3 linked regions of the Oryctolagus cuniculus genome follow. The protein of the gene in region 3 purifies or fractionates together with the protein of the main gene of each other region. This does not show direct contact. Links are inferred from orthologs where the notes say so. Each region holds a gene or a part of one and is shown on either strand. Other genes may lie near its edges. The genes, in order: KIF5C, KIF5A and KLC1.

Evidence for each region.
Region 1: the proteins of KLC1 (region 3) and KIF5C purify together in Homo sapiens (co-immunoprecipitation; 4 studies listed by BioGRID and IntAct, counting the BioPlex papers as one, with this or other methods). This does not show direct contact. The link is inferred for Oryctolagus cuniculus from reciprocal best matches to the Homo sapiens genes KLC1 and KIF5C.
Region 2: the proteins of KLC1 (region 3) and KIF5A purify together in Homo sapiens (co-immunoprecipitation; 7 studies listed by BioGRID and IntAct, counting the BioPlex papers as one, with this or other methods). This does not show direct contact. The link is inferred for Oryctolagus cuniculus from reciprocal best matches to the Homo sapiens genes KLC1 and KIF5A.

Annotation. Positions count from the first base shown.
Region 1 is NC_091434.1:93,393,265-93,397,532, reverse strand, and holds the start of KIF5C (kinesin heavy chain), read left to right. Parts: upstream 1-1,391; 5' UTR 1,392-1,605; coding exon 1,606-1,731; intron 1,732-4,268. UniProt on the Homo sapiens protein: Microtubule-associated force-producing protein that may play a role in organelle transport. Has ATPase activity. Involved in synaptic transmission. Mediates dendritic trafficking of mRNAs.
Region 2 is NC_091442.1:60,179,791-60,183,431, reverse strand, and holds part of KIF5A (kinesin heavy chain), read right to left. Parts: intron 2,822-3,641; coding exon 2,615-2,821; intron 2,356-2,614; coding exon 2,209-2,355; intron 1,726-2,208; coding exon 1,537-1,725; intron 1,212-1,536; coding exon 1,094-1,211; intron 802-1,093; coding exon 737-801; intron 615-736; coding exon 505-614; intron 156-504; coding exon 54-155; intron 1-53. UniProt on the Homo sapiens protein: Microtubule-dependent motor required for slow axonal transport of neurofilament proteins (NFH, NFM and NFL). Can induce formation of neurite-like membrane protrusions in non-neuronal cells in a ZFYVE27-dependent manner.
Region 3 is NC_091451.1:46,448,388-46,452,028, forward strand, and holds part of KLC1 (kinesin light chain 1), read left to right. Parts: intron 1-2,292; coding exon 2,293-2,466; intron 2,467-2,598; coding exon 2,599-2,698; intron 2,699-3,641. UniProt on the Homo sapiens protein: Kinesin is a microtubule-associated force-producing protein that may play a role in organelle transport. The light chain may function in coupling of cargo to the heavy chain or in the modulation of its ATPase activity.

The sequences.
Region 1 (4,268 bases), on a different chromosome or scaffold from region 3:
AAATAGGAAGCTACAAGCCCCGGCAGCTTGGTATTTGTCAGGGTACAAATATCAACACTAGAAGGGGCAGGAGATGGGGCCAAATAAGTTGGCAGAAATCTGACCACGAGAGCCAGGGTGTATCCAGTAAAGAACTTTGGACTTGGTCCAATGTATGCTCTGTTCCTTCTGCAGTGCTCCAAAGAGGCATTACGTAAAGGTGCTGTAACTGAAATGTCCTAAACCTGGGAGTGACAGGCAGTCTTCAGTTGCTGCGAAATTACTGAAATAGCTCGCTAAGGCTGTGGGTGGGAACTGGTGTATTTGTGTTTTGTTTTTTGTTATTGATATGGCCAAAGTACCCAACTTTCATCAGATGTTAAAAGAGTCCCTGACCCCAAATAGGTAGCAAGTCATGAACTGTGCTACCTGTGTACAGGCATTTTCAGGTGTAACTGGCTTCCAAATATCCATGCAGGTTTATCCACTCCACCCCTAACTTTCCTCAAAACTTAAAAAAAAGAGATTTATTTATTTGAAAGCAGAGTTACAGAGAGGCAGAGGAGAGAGAGAGAGAGAGAGAGAGGTTTTCCACCCACTGGTACACTCCCCAGATGGCCCAAACCGCTAGAGCTGCACCGATCCGAAGCCAGGAGCCAGGAGCTTCTTCTGAGTCTCCCACGTGGGTGCAGGGGCCCAAGAACTTGGGCCATCTTTCACTGCTTTCCCAGGCTATAGCAGAGAGCTGGATCAGAAGTAGAGCAACTGGGACTAGAACCGATGCCCATATGGGACCCCGGCACTGCAGGCGGCAGCTTTACCGGCTTCGCCACAGTGCCGGCTCCTCCTCAATACTCTTAAGCACAGAGAAAACCCCTCAAATGTGTCATAGGATGTGATTCTCCTTTGGAATCAGGAAAAGATGTAAAGAGATGGTCCAGACCTGGTTATTTCTAGAGATTTTGAGCTAGAATATTGGATGAGCTCTCCATCCTGTTTTTGGCTTGGGCAGCCCTATCAGGCTTGTAGGCCGTCGGAGATCACTCCGGGGCACTGTCCATGTCCTACCCAAAGCCAATTCCTAGCATCTTGGCCCTTTCACCTGCAAATAAAGTGACTACGTGTCCCGGCATGCGCCGCGCTCCGGGCCGGCGGAGGCGGGGCGGACCGCCGCGGTGACGTCACCGCCCCCGGGCTGGCAGCGGGAGGGCGGGGCGGAGGGGCGGGCCGGGCAAGCGGCGGAGCGCGCTGGTGCTGATGCAGGATGGCTGGGCGCTCTGGAGCCCGGGAGGTCTGAGCCGGGCGAGGCTCGCTCCTTGCGCATCGCCTGGGCGACCCGCCGCGGGGTCGCAGGCAGGTGGGCCGGGGGTGCCGGGCAGGGCAGAGCCAGGTCAGGCGGGTCTGCAGCCGGCGGGGCCGGAGCCCGGGGGGCTGTCCACCGTCCCGGGCTCGGAGCGGCTGGAGCTGCCCGGCCGGCCGAGTTCGCGATGACCTGCTGAGAAGCGCCGCGGGAGGCTGCAGGAGGCGGCCCTGCTGCGGGCGGTACGGTAGCGGCCTCGTCCCTCAGAGCGCCCAGCCGCCCCCCACCCCCACCATCCCCGCGCCCCCTCCCTGCAGCCGGCCGCGATGGCGGATCCAGCCGAATGCAGCATCAAAGTGATGTGCCGGTTCCGGCCCCTCAACGAGGCGGAGATCCTCCGCGGGGACAAATTCATCCCCAAATTCAAAGGCGACGAGACCGTGGTGATCGGGGTAAGTGGCCGAACGTCCGGCCGCCCCTCCTGCTTCGCGCCGCTGGCGCCCCGACGCCCTGGACGGGGCGGAGATGTTCCGCCGCCCCTTCGGACGTCCCCGCTGGCCGCCCTCCCGGGGCAGGACGGAGACCCCTCACCTCGCGCTCCGTGGTTACCCCCTGGGTGGCGGGGCGGGCCCCGGGGGTGGGGGCAGGGGGCGAGGCAGAGCCCGGCGCCGCCATTGTTCGCGAGGTGGGGGCCCAGGTGGGCCCATTGTTCCCCACACTCTCCACGCTGCGTGGATAGTGTGTTCAGGTCACCCCCTAGCAGGAGTGCCTGGCCCCCCATGAGCTATGAGCTCCATGGATGCTTCCAGGCTTCAGTTCGATTTATCAAGCACTTTGCCTCTCTTCTCACGCCCTTAGCAAACAGGGAAGAAGAAAAGGCTTAGGAAGAATCCATGGCTAGGCCCCGGGCTCCCTGCCGTGGGTTTCACCTTGCTCCGCGCTGGTCCGGTGGAGTGCTTGGGCGGGGGCGGGGGGAAGGGCACTGGTGGCTCCCTAGTCCCCAGGAGGCCTGTGTATCTCCTGCTTGCTGTCACCCAGGCTGCCCTGAATGTGAGCCGGGGCTGGCTTTCTGCCGCTTGATCGAGCCCCCCACCTGATGTCCGCAGACCCTGCGGTATGCTTCGCGGGGCGTGGAGAGGAGGCTGCTTTTGCATCTGTACGGCAAGGGGGCACAGATCGCAGCCCTGCAGCCCCTCTGTGCCAAGAGCAGAAGTTACTTTGTGTGGCTAGGGCCCCCTCCCTCTGGGTCTCCAGTCCCCACTTTCCCCCCTCCCCCTCCCCGACTCAGCTCCCTCTCCGCAGCCTGGGCTGCCGGTGGGGGAGGGAGCACCAGTGGGTTTCAGTTCTTAAAGGGCTATGTCCGATGAAGTCCGCCAGCCCTGCCTCCAGTCCGCTGTCCCTAGCGTGTGTGGCTGACGGTGCCCTTTGTATGCAAACCGCGTGGGGAGGGACCCGTTAATGGGAGCCTCCCGGTCCCCGCTGACACGTTCTTGGCAGCCCGCTCCAGGCTGCTCATGCAGCCTTCCCGTCCTCAGCATTGATTAAGTGATGTCATCCCGATCACTGAGCATGCTCCAACCAGCCCCCTTCCCCCCCTCCCATTCTCCCAGTGGCTGGTGTATTTAGGTCAAGTGATTGACAGGTGACAGTTTTCCGAGGGTATCTCCGGAGTCCTCCCGGCCTGCATCCAGCTACAGAAGCCGACACACCAGCATCTATGCCGAGGGTGTCTGCCGCAGTCCCTGTGAAGGGCCCGGGGGACAGCAGGTGCAAGGGGTAGGAAGCTGCTGTGCAAGCCAGAGGAACAGAGGTGAAGCTCTGGCCTCGGGGCTTCATCCTGTACCTCCTTTGCCAAGGCAGCTCCCTTGACGACGCCTTCTCTTCTCCCCATTTTCACAGTCAGGAAACCATGACCTCCAAATGCTGTGTGGATAGGCGTTCATTCTGACTGCTGACCTATGAGGGAGGAAAGAGTGTTTTCTCTCTGCTTGGTGTTAACTTGCAGGGGAGATGTATGGTACAATTATTGATGGGAAGGGAAATTCTACAGTAAATGGCAGCTGTGGGCTAGTGACATTTCTGTGTGCTACTTACTAGTGCCCATGTGGCTTGTTTGGGTTACAGCTCTCTGCCAGGCTCTTCCTGCAGCCTTATCTGGGATTTCTTGAGCCAGGCTATGGGAGTTCCTGGGGACATCGAGTCCCTGCCCCTTGGCTTGTAACAATTTTTTAAAACAAGTAACTGCAGAATTAGGACATGTTCTGGTGACCCTGTTTTTTTCCCAGAGGTTTCAAAGAAGAACTTGAAGAAGTTCTTTTGCCACTTCCTCTCTGAACCCCCTTTCTTCTTCCCATCTTTCTCTTCTCTCACTTCCCCCTTTAACCTCCGCCCCCATCACCAGGACCAATGGAGCGGGTTAATAAATCATCTTCTTTTATATGTGTGCAAAGCAGAGATCCTAATTTCCAAGTAACTTTCTTGAGTATTATAATACTATAAGATGTAATCCCCATCTAAGTATATATATTGTTGACTAAGAAAATTAAAACTAAGCCACCGTATAAAATAAGAATGTGAATATATGCAATACTCTTCAGCTGTAAAGTGGTCTTTCTCATCCTACTGTAATCTTTGAATATAACAGGCAGTTTTCATTGTTAAGGTAAATTTTTATTGAAATAAAATATTCCTATGGAAGAGCATTATATCATAAGTGTCTGGTTTTAGGCGTTCACAACGTAGATGCTCCCTATAACTACCTCACAGACTAAGAAACTTCAGAAGTCCCCATAGTACTCCTTCTGGTCCCTAACTATCTCCTCCCCCCCAACCAAGGGTAGCCATTGTTTTGACTTGGCTCATTTTTCTTTGTTTTACTTTCTACGTGTAAAACTATGCAGTATGGTCTCTCACATACAGTATGGTGTGTTTCTTGTGATGCACATGATGCTTGTCAAATCCAGCCCCATTGTGCCGTATCCCATGATTT
Region 2 (3,641 bases), on a different chromosome or scaffold from region 3:
GCCCAGGCGTCCCGCCTCTGTGGGCCCGCTGGGCGCGGGTGAGCATCACTCACGTCAGCTCCTGCAGCTTGGCGCTCTTCTCGTGCTCTTCGCTCTTCAGCTTCTCATAGTCGGCCTGCAGCTTCTCCAGCTCCAGCTGCAGCTTCTGATTCAGGCTGTGAGGGCCGCGGGGAGAAAAGCAGAGGTTCACGCGCAGGAAAGGGAAGAAAGCTCTTCAAGCACTCTCCTCCTTGCAGGAGGGAAGCCACTTGGAATGGATGCATCAATGCAGGCCACTGCTTCTGTGACACAGCAAACAGCCCTGAGCTCGCCAATCAGTCAGGCCTCAAGGGGAGGGAGCAGTCCATACTTCTGTATCTCCTGATACAGCTGGGCTGCAAAGCTGTGTCACGGTGGACGGAACGACACGTGGGAGTGGAAGAACCAGATCCGGAAGGGCAGCTGAGCGCGCCCCGCAGGACGGGAGGACCTGGGGGAGACTGGGGCCACCCACGGGAACCTTACTCTTTGAGTTCATCAATGGTCTTTTGCTTCTCATTGATCTCGTCCCGGAGCCGGGCCAGCTGCCGGTGATGGGCCTCCCGGTGACTCTCCATCTGCACCTCCAGAGCCTTCTGCAAATAACCCCACTCCAGGCTCAAAGCCGGACTCCCAAGGCACCCCCATGAAGTCTCTGCTCCTGCGCCACCCTCGGCCCCGGCCCCAGCCCCGGCCCCAGCCCCAGCCCCGCACTCACCTTCACTTCATCCGCATCCTGGGTGTCTGGCTCCTTGTCCTTCAGGGCCACCTCATGCACAGTTTCTATGAGAAAGACAGCTCATACCAAACCCATCTCCTCCAGATAGACCCACAGGTGGTGACCAAAGCTCAGGCTGGGCAGGGGATGGGCTGTTCTGGGCAGGCCCAGGGTTTATGGTTCGTGTGCATGGGCCACGTGCAAAGGCCTGGCTGGGCTCTTAGCAAGAGTCTGCACCCGTGGTTTCAGGCTAAGGCTCTGGGGGACTGTCAGGCTGGTGTTTTGGGGACGTCTGGGACTTTCCCTGGGGGATCTCAGATGCCAGGACAGGTGGGACGGAGTTGAGGAAGGCCTCACCCTGGGCCTGCAGCTTGGCCAGCTCGTCACTCAGGGAGTCGTAGGACTCCTCCAGGTGCCGCTTCTTCAGCTCCACACTCTGCATGTATTCTGTAAGCGAGCGGATCTTGGCCTCATGCTGGGAGGAGAGGGGTGGGAAGAGAAAGAAGATGGCTGGAGCTGGGGACACAACTCCGAGCTGGTGCATACCTGTCAACTCCCATTCTCCCCAGTCCTCCCCCACCACACGCCTTCCAGGACGCTGCAGGTCGGGCGTCATTCCTATGGGGACTCTGTTGGACCCTCTCGGATCAGAGCCTTTGTTTGGCTGAATTCTCCCCACTGGCACCCCAGCTCCTCTGTCCCTGATCTCAGCTGACCTTGACCTTCAGGAGGGCGCTGGGAGCTTTATCCACAACCGCACAATAGCCATGTTCCCCAGGGTTCTCAGCTCAGGCGCTTACCTGGGAGATGAGGAGCTGGCAGGACGACAGCTCGCGCCCAGTCACCTCCATCTTGCGATGACATTCCACCTGCAGGTTCTCCAGCTGCCGGCACCGCTTCACCACGGACTTAACCTCCGATTTGATTTTGCTGATGTAGAGCCGTGCCACCGTGAACTCCTCCTCGATGGCCCCGCTGATCTCCACTGGCTGGGGACGGGCAGAAGAGGAAGACCAGCTGCAGGGGGGTCCCAGGCATCCCTCCCGCCTTCCGCCCAGCCCCTCACACACTTGGGGACTCAGGTGGACAGGTGAACCCCCTGCAGCAGCTCTCCTGGCAATTTGCACTAAATCCCTCCACCTGCGTTGAAAGAACCAAGGGCCACACTCCCCGCTCCCATCTCATCATGTATGATGATTTTCTTTGGTAGGCGAAACAGTGTCTCACTTCCACAGCACTGTGCCCCCACTGCTAAATTCTACGTACATCTCCATTGCTTCTGCACTTGGTACCTCCGCAATGTGTCCTGTTGCCTGAGTCTGTGCAAACCTCTTGCTGTTTTCTGGGTCTAGTGTGAAGGTGTGTCCCCTGGCTCTCTGCACCCCCCTCCCCAGTATCCCCGAGGGTCTGGATTGGGCCACCCTGCACATCCCACCAGGGCCTGACCAGGACTGCTGGGTCTCCCCACTCACCAGCTTGATTTCCCCGTTGCCCACGATGACGCTGAACTCACTCAGGTCCTTCATCAGCCCATTCAGCACCTCGGCAATTCGTTTGCGCTGGTGCCCACTGACCTCCTGGAGTCGCTGCAACTCAGACTCCAGGGACAGCATCGTGGCCTGGGGAACAGCCCCTCTGGTCACTGCCACTGCCATTCCCACTCCCCTCCCTGGCCCAGGCGGAGGCCTATCACTTCGTGCGTGACCCTCAGGGCCGCCACAGAGAGGACACAGGCCCTACAGAAGGGTGTGGAATACAAGGGGCAGAAGGGCAAAGTGCAGGGGCAGGATGGGTGCCAACACCCTACTGCCCAGCCCCCCGGGGAACATGGAGGATGTCCGAGGCCAGGAGCACTCGGGCCACGAGCAGGCCACTCACCACCTTCTGAGACAGCTCGTCCACCAGCAGCTGGTTCTGCTGGCTCTTCTCCTCCACCTCCTGGGACTTCTGGTCGTAGTTCACGGCCAGCTCCTCCAGGGCCTGCAACACTTCCTTCACCTCCTCCTTGGCGGCATCGTTCTCTGACTGCAGGTGGCTCAGCTCCCGCTGCACCTTCTCGTTGTCCCCTCGAGTGGACACCAGCAGCTGCACGGGAGAGGAAGGGCGTGTGAGAGAGCACCTGCTGGCGACTGTCCCCACAGCCCCACAGGCTGGGGAAGATGAGCCCCCGACCCAAAGCGTAAGTTGGAGGGAGTGGGTTTTAGGCTCCACAGCAACAGAATGAAGAAGCACCCAGACTCCAACTCTGAGCTTTCAGAAAAGCCCCAAAGCACTTCCTAGACTTCTGTTAAGTTTTGGGGGGTGACCAGCCCCCAGGCAGAATGCCACTTCCTCCATCCGATTTTTTTTTTTTTTTTTTTTTTGACAGGCAGAGTTAGACAGTGAGAGCGAGACAGAGAGAAAGGTCTTCCTTCCGTTGGTTCACCCCCCTAAATGGCCGCTATGGCCGGCGTGCTGTGCCGATCCAAAGCCAGGAGCCAGGTGCTTCCTCCCAGTCTCTCATGTGGGTACAGGGGCCCAAGCACCCGGGTCATCCTCCACTGCCTTCCCAGGCCACAGCAGAGAGCTGGACTGGAAGAGGAGCAACCAGGACTAGAATCCGGTGCCCATATGGGATGCTGGAGCCGCAGGTGGAGGATTAACCAAGTAAGCCATGGCGCCAGCCCTCCAATTTTTTTGTTGTTGTTATTTATTTTATTTGAAAGGCAGAATTAGAGAGAGAGGGAGAGACACACAGAGAGAGAACCATCCACTGGTTCATTTCCCAAATGGCTTCATTTGGTTTCCCAGGTGGATGGCAGGGGCCCAAGCACTTGGGCCATCTTCTGCTGCTTTCCCAGACCATAGCAGGGAGCTAGACAGGAAGTAGTGCAGCCACGACTTGAAATGGCACTCATGTGAGGTG
Region 3 (3,641 bases):
ACAGAAAAGCAGAGGCAGAGAGAGAGAGAGAGAGAGAGAGAGATCCTCTATCTGCTGGTTCACTCTCCAAATGGCTGCAATGACTGGAGCTGCACTGATCGGGAACCAGGAGCCTCCTCTGGGTCTCTTCTGCTGCTTTCCCAGGCCATAGCAGAGAGCCAGATGGGAAGCAGAGCAGCTGGGACTCTAACCGGTGGCGGCCAGCCAGCACTGTAGGCAGCGGCTTTACCCACTACACCACAGCGCTGGCACCAGGCTTAAGTCCTGAGAAGTGACTATTGTGTTTTGTCATTACTGAGTGTTTCCTGAAAATAGCTTGTTTAATAGGATAGAAAGCTGGGAAACAGGTGGATCAGACTCACCTGAGAGGGGTGTGTGCTAGAAAGGGCAGCCCTGCCGGCCGCGAGCAGGGGTCCTGACATCGCAGGTGTCACGGGGTCTGCTTGTCGGGAAGTTGTTCAGTTAGATGCAAATCCCCCAAGTGTGTTTATGGGGATAGAGACTGAAACCGTTATTCTCAGAACTGAAGATGAGCTAGAGTGTGGGTGAAGTCAGCATCGTGGCTATCCAGTTCTCTGCTACCTTTGGTGGTCGCCAGGAGTCAGAGCGGCGAGTGCTTGTGCCGGCAGCTCTGTGGCTGTGCGGGACGTTAGCAAAGTCGGCCGTCAGCTGCACAGCGAGTAACCACAGGCAGATTAGCTGGGCATTGTCTGCAGTTACTTATCAGTGACACTGAGAGATTGGCCACTTAGTTTTGGGCCATAATGGCAAAGAATAGGCAGAGGAAAAATGAGAAGAAGCTCATTATAAAATTGTACAGGTGATTTTCTTTTAATAATTTATTTTATTTATTTGAAAGAGTTACAGAGAGGGAGAAACAGAGAAGGAGAGAGATCTTCCATCCGCTGATTCACTCTGCAATGGCCGCAACAGCCGGGGCTGGGCCAGGCTGAAACCAGAAACCAGGAGCTCCATCCAGGTCTCCATAGCAGGAGCCCCAAGCGTTTGGACCATCTTCTGCTGCTTTCCCAGCTAGCGAAACTGGGTCAGAAGTGGAGTGGTTAGGACTCGAACCAGCATTCATGTGGGATCTGACCTCACAGGTGGTAGCCTAACCCACTGCCACAGCACAGGCCCCTGCACTGAACCTTGAACTTCTGAGTTGAAAGTGCCTCAGCAGCGTGAAGCAGTGGGTTAAAACCGCCCCCTGCAGCGCCAGCGTCCCGCATGCCGCTCCGTGTCCCGGCTGCTCCACTTCTGATCCAGCTCTCTGCCAAGGCTTGGGAAAGCAGCGGAGAATGGCCCAAGCATTTGGGCCCCTGTCACCCATGTTGGAGACCTGGGAGAAGCTCCTGGGGTGTGGTAAGGGCAGCCCGCTGCAGGGGTGAGGGGCAGGTAGGGGGCAGGAGAGGAGTTGGTGAGTGTTTATTCGGCCTTCGATACAGTGTACGCTGCAGTGAGTGGTGCTTCGGCAACAAAGAATAAGCAGGAAAGCTTGGGCAGCTGTAAAGGTGGAGAAGCGGGTGATGTGCTGGTGAGTGACTGTGGAGGCGGGGACCTCCCCTCTGAGGCGCTGAGGAGAGCCCTCAGGGTGAGCAGCTGCGCTGGGAGAGGTGTGGGCCCAGAAGCAGGGAGAGTGGTGGGTAACAGGGTCTTCATCACGTGCAGTTCCCTTGTCTGCAGAGCGCTGCGTCCTGATGGCTCAGGGCTGCCCTGGAGGACTCGAGTCAAACAGGGCAGCCGGCGAAGACGAGCACGGTGTCCCCTCCCCCCAGGGCCTGCAGTGCGGCCTAGCGGGTAAAGCTGCCGCTTACCAAGCTGGCAGCCCAGAGGAGGTAAAGCTGCCGCTTACTATGGCTGCTCCACTTCCACTCCTACTCCCTGCTCATGTGCCTAAGCAGCAGAAGATGGATCAAGTACCTGGGCCTCTGCATGTGCGTGGGAGCCCCGGATGGAGTTCCAGGGTCCTGACTTAGGCCTGCCTGGCCTCGGCTGTCGGAGCCATCTGGGGAGTGAACCAAAGGATGAAGATCTCATTCTCCATGTCTCCCTGTCTCTGTGTAACTCTGTCTTTCAAATAAGTAAATGGACTTTAAAGAATGAAAATGGGAGTTCAAAGGGCTCCGGCGCCGCTCCTCTTACTGGTGTGCCGTGGGAGCCGTTGGAGGTGTGCAGCCTGGAGGTGGCGCGCAGTCGCGTTTCCGCTTTAGAAGGAGCTGTGACAGGAGCGTGCGGAGTGGACGGCTGCAGAGACGCGAGCCTGCGTTTCTGACTGACTGTGTTCATCCCTAGGTTCTGGGCAAGGATCACCCTGATGTTGCCAAGCAGCTGAATAACTTGGCCTTGCTGTGCCAGAACCAGGGCAAGTATGAGGAAGTGGAGTATTACTACCAGAGAGCCCTGGAGATCTACCAGACAAAGCTGGGCCCCGATGACCCCAACGTGGCCAAGACGAAAAATAACCTGGTAGGTGACGGCGGGCCGTGGCGTGGCCTGGGCTGTTCTTGCAGACTCAGAGCAGCCGTAACTCTGCCTGCCCATCGGGGTGTGTGCGTTGCTGCCGTGTGAAGGACACCAAACTCTTTCTTTCACTTCAAGGCTTCCTGCTACCTGAAACAAGGGAAGTTCAAGCAAGCAGAAACACTGTATAAGGAGATCCTCACTCGGGCGCACGAGAGGGAGTTCGGATCTGTAGACGGTAAGACGCTCTCCTGACGTTCACGCTGTGACGTGGTTTGCAGCGTGCAGTTGGTGATAGTGAAGTCCTTAGGACCTTTTCCAGGGTAGAATGCGATCTGGGACCACTGTGTAGCCAAGCGCTGAGTCACCGGGTCGGGCGGCTGCGTGTCCTGTCCCACAAGGAGTCCGTGCTGCCTCTGCTCCTGCCTGCGGCTTCCTGCTCATCGGCCCCGCCAGGCAGTGGTGACGGCTCAGTGACTGAGTCCCTGCCGCCCGTGGGGAGACCTGGGCTGAGCTCTCATCCCCCTGCCCTGGCCTTGCCCTGAGTTCCAGGCCCATGGGGAGGCCACCAATGCCTGCCTCGGGCCGCACTAGTTCACCTGCCTGTGAAGCTCACAGCCGTTTTCTCAGCGCTAATGGCCACTGAAGACTTCAGATACGCCGGCGTGACCGTGCTGCACAATGACGCAGAAACAGGACGGTGGCCTGCCGTTGCCAGCCAGGCCGTGCATGCCACTGTGGAGGCACAGCAGGGGGGTTGGTTTCTTCTTTTCTTTTTAAATATAGTATTCTTTTTTTATTTTTATTTTATTTTTTTATTTGACAGGTAGAGTTATAGACAGAGAGAGACAGAGAGAAAGGTCTTCCTTTCGCTGGTTCACTCCCCAAATGGCCGCTACGGCCGGTGCACCGTGCTGATCCAAAGCCAGGAGCCAGGTGCTTCTTCCTGGTCTCCCATGCGGGTGCAGGGGCCAAGCTCTTGGGCCATCCTCCACTGCCTTCCCAGGCCACAGCAGAGAGCTGGACAGGAGAGGAGCAACTGGAACTAGAACCCAGCACCCATATGGGATGCCAGCACTGCAGGGGGAGGATTAACCAAGTGAGCCACGGCACTGGCCCCTCTTTTTTTTTTTTTTTTAAAGGCCATCATTTTATTTGCAAGAGTTACAGAGAGGTAGGGA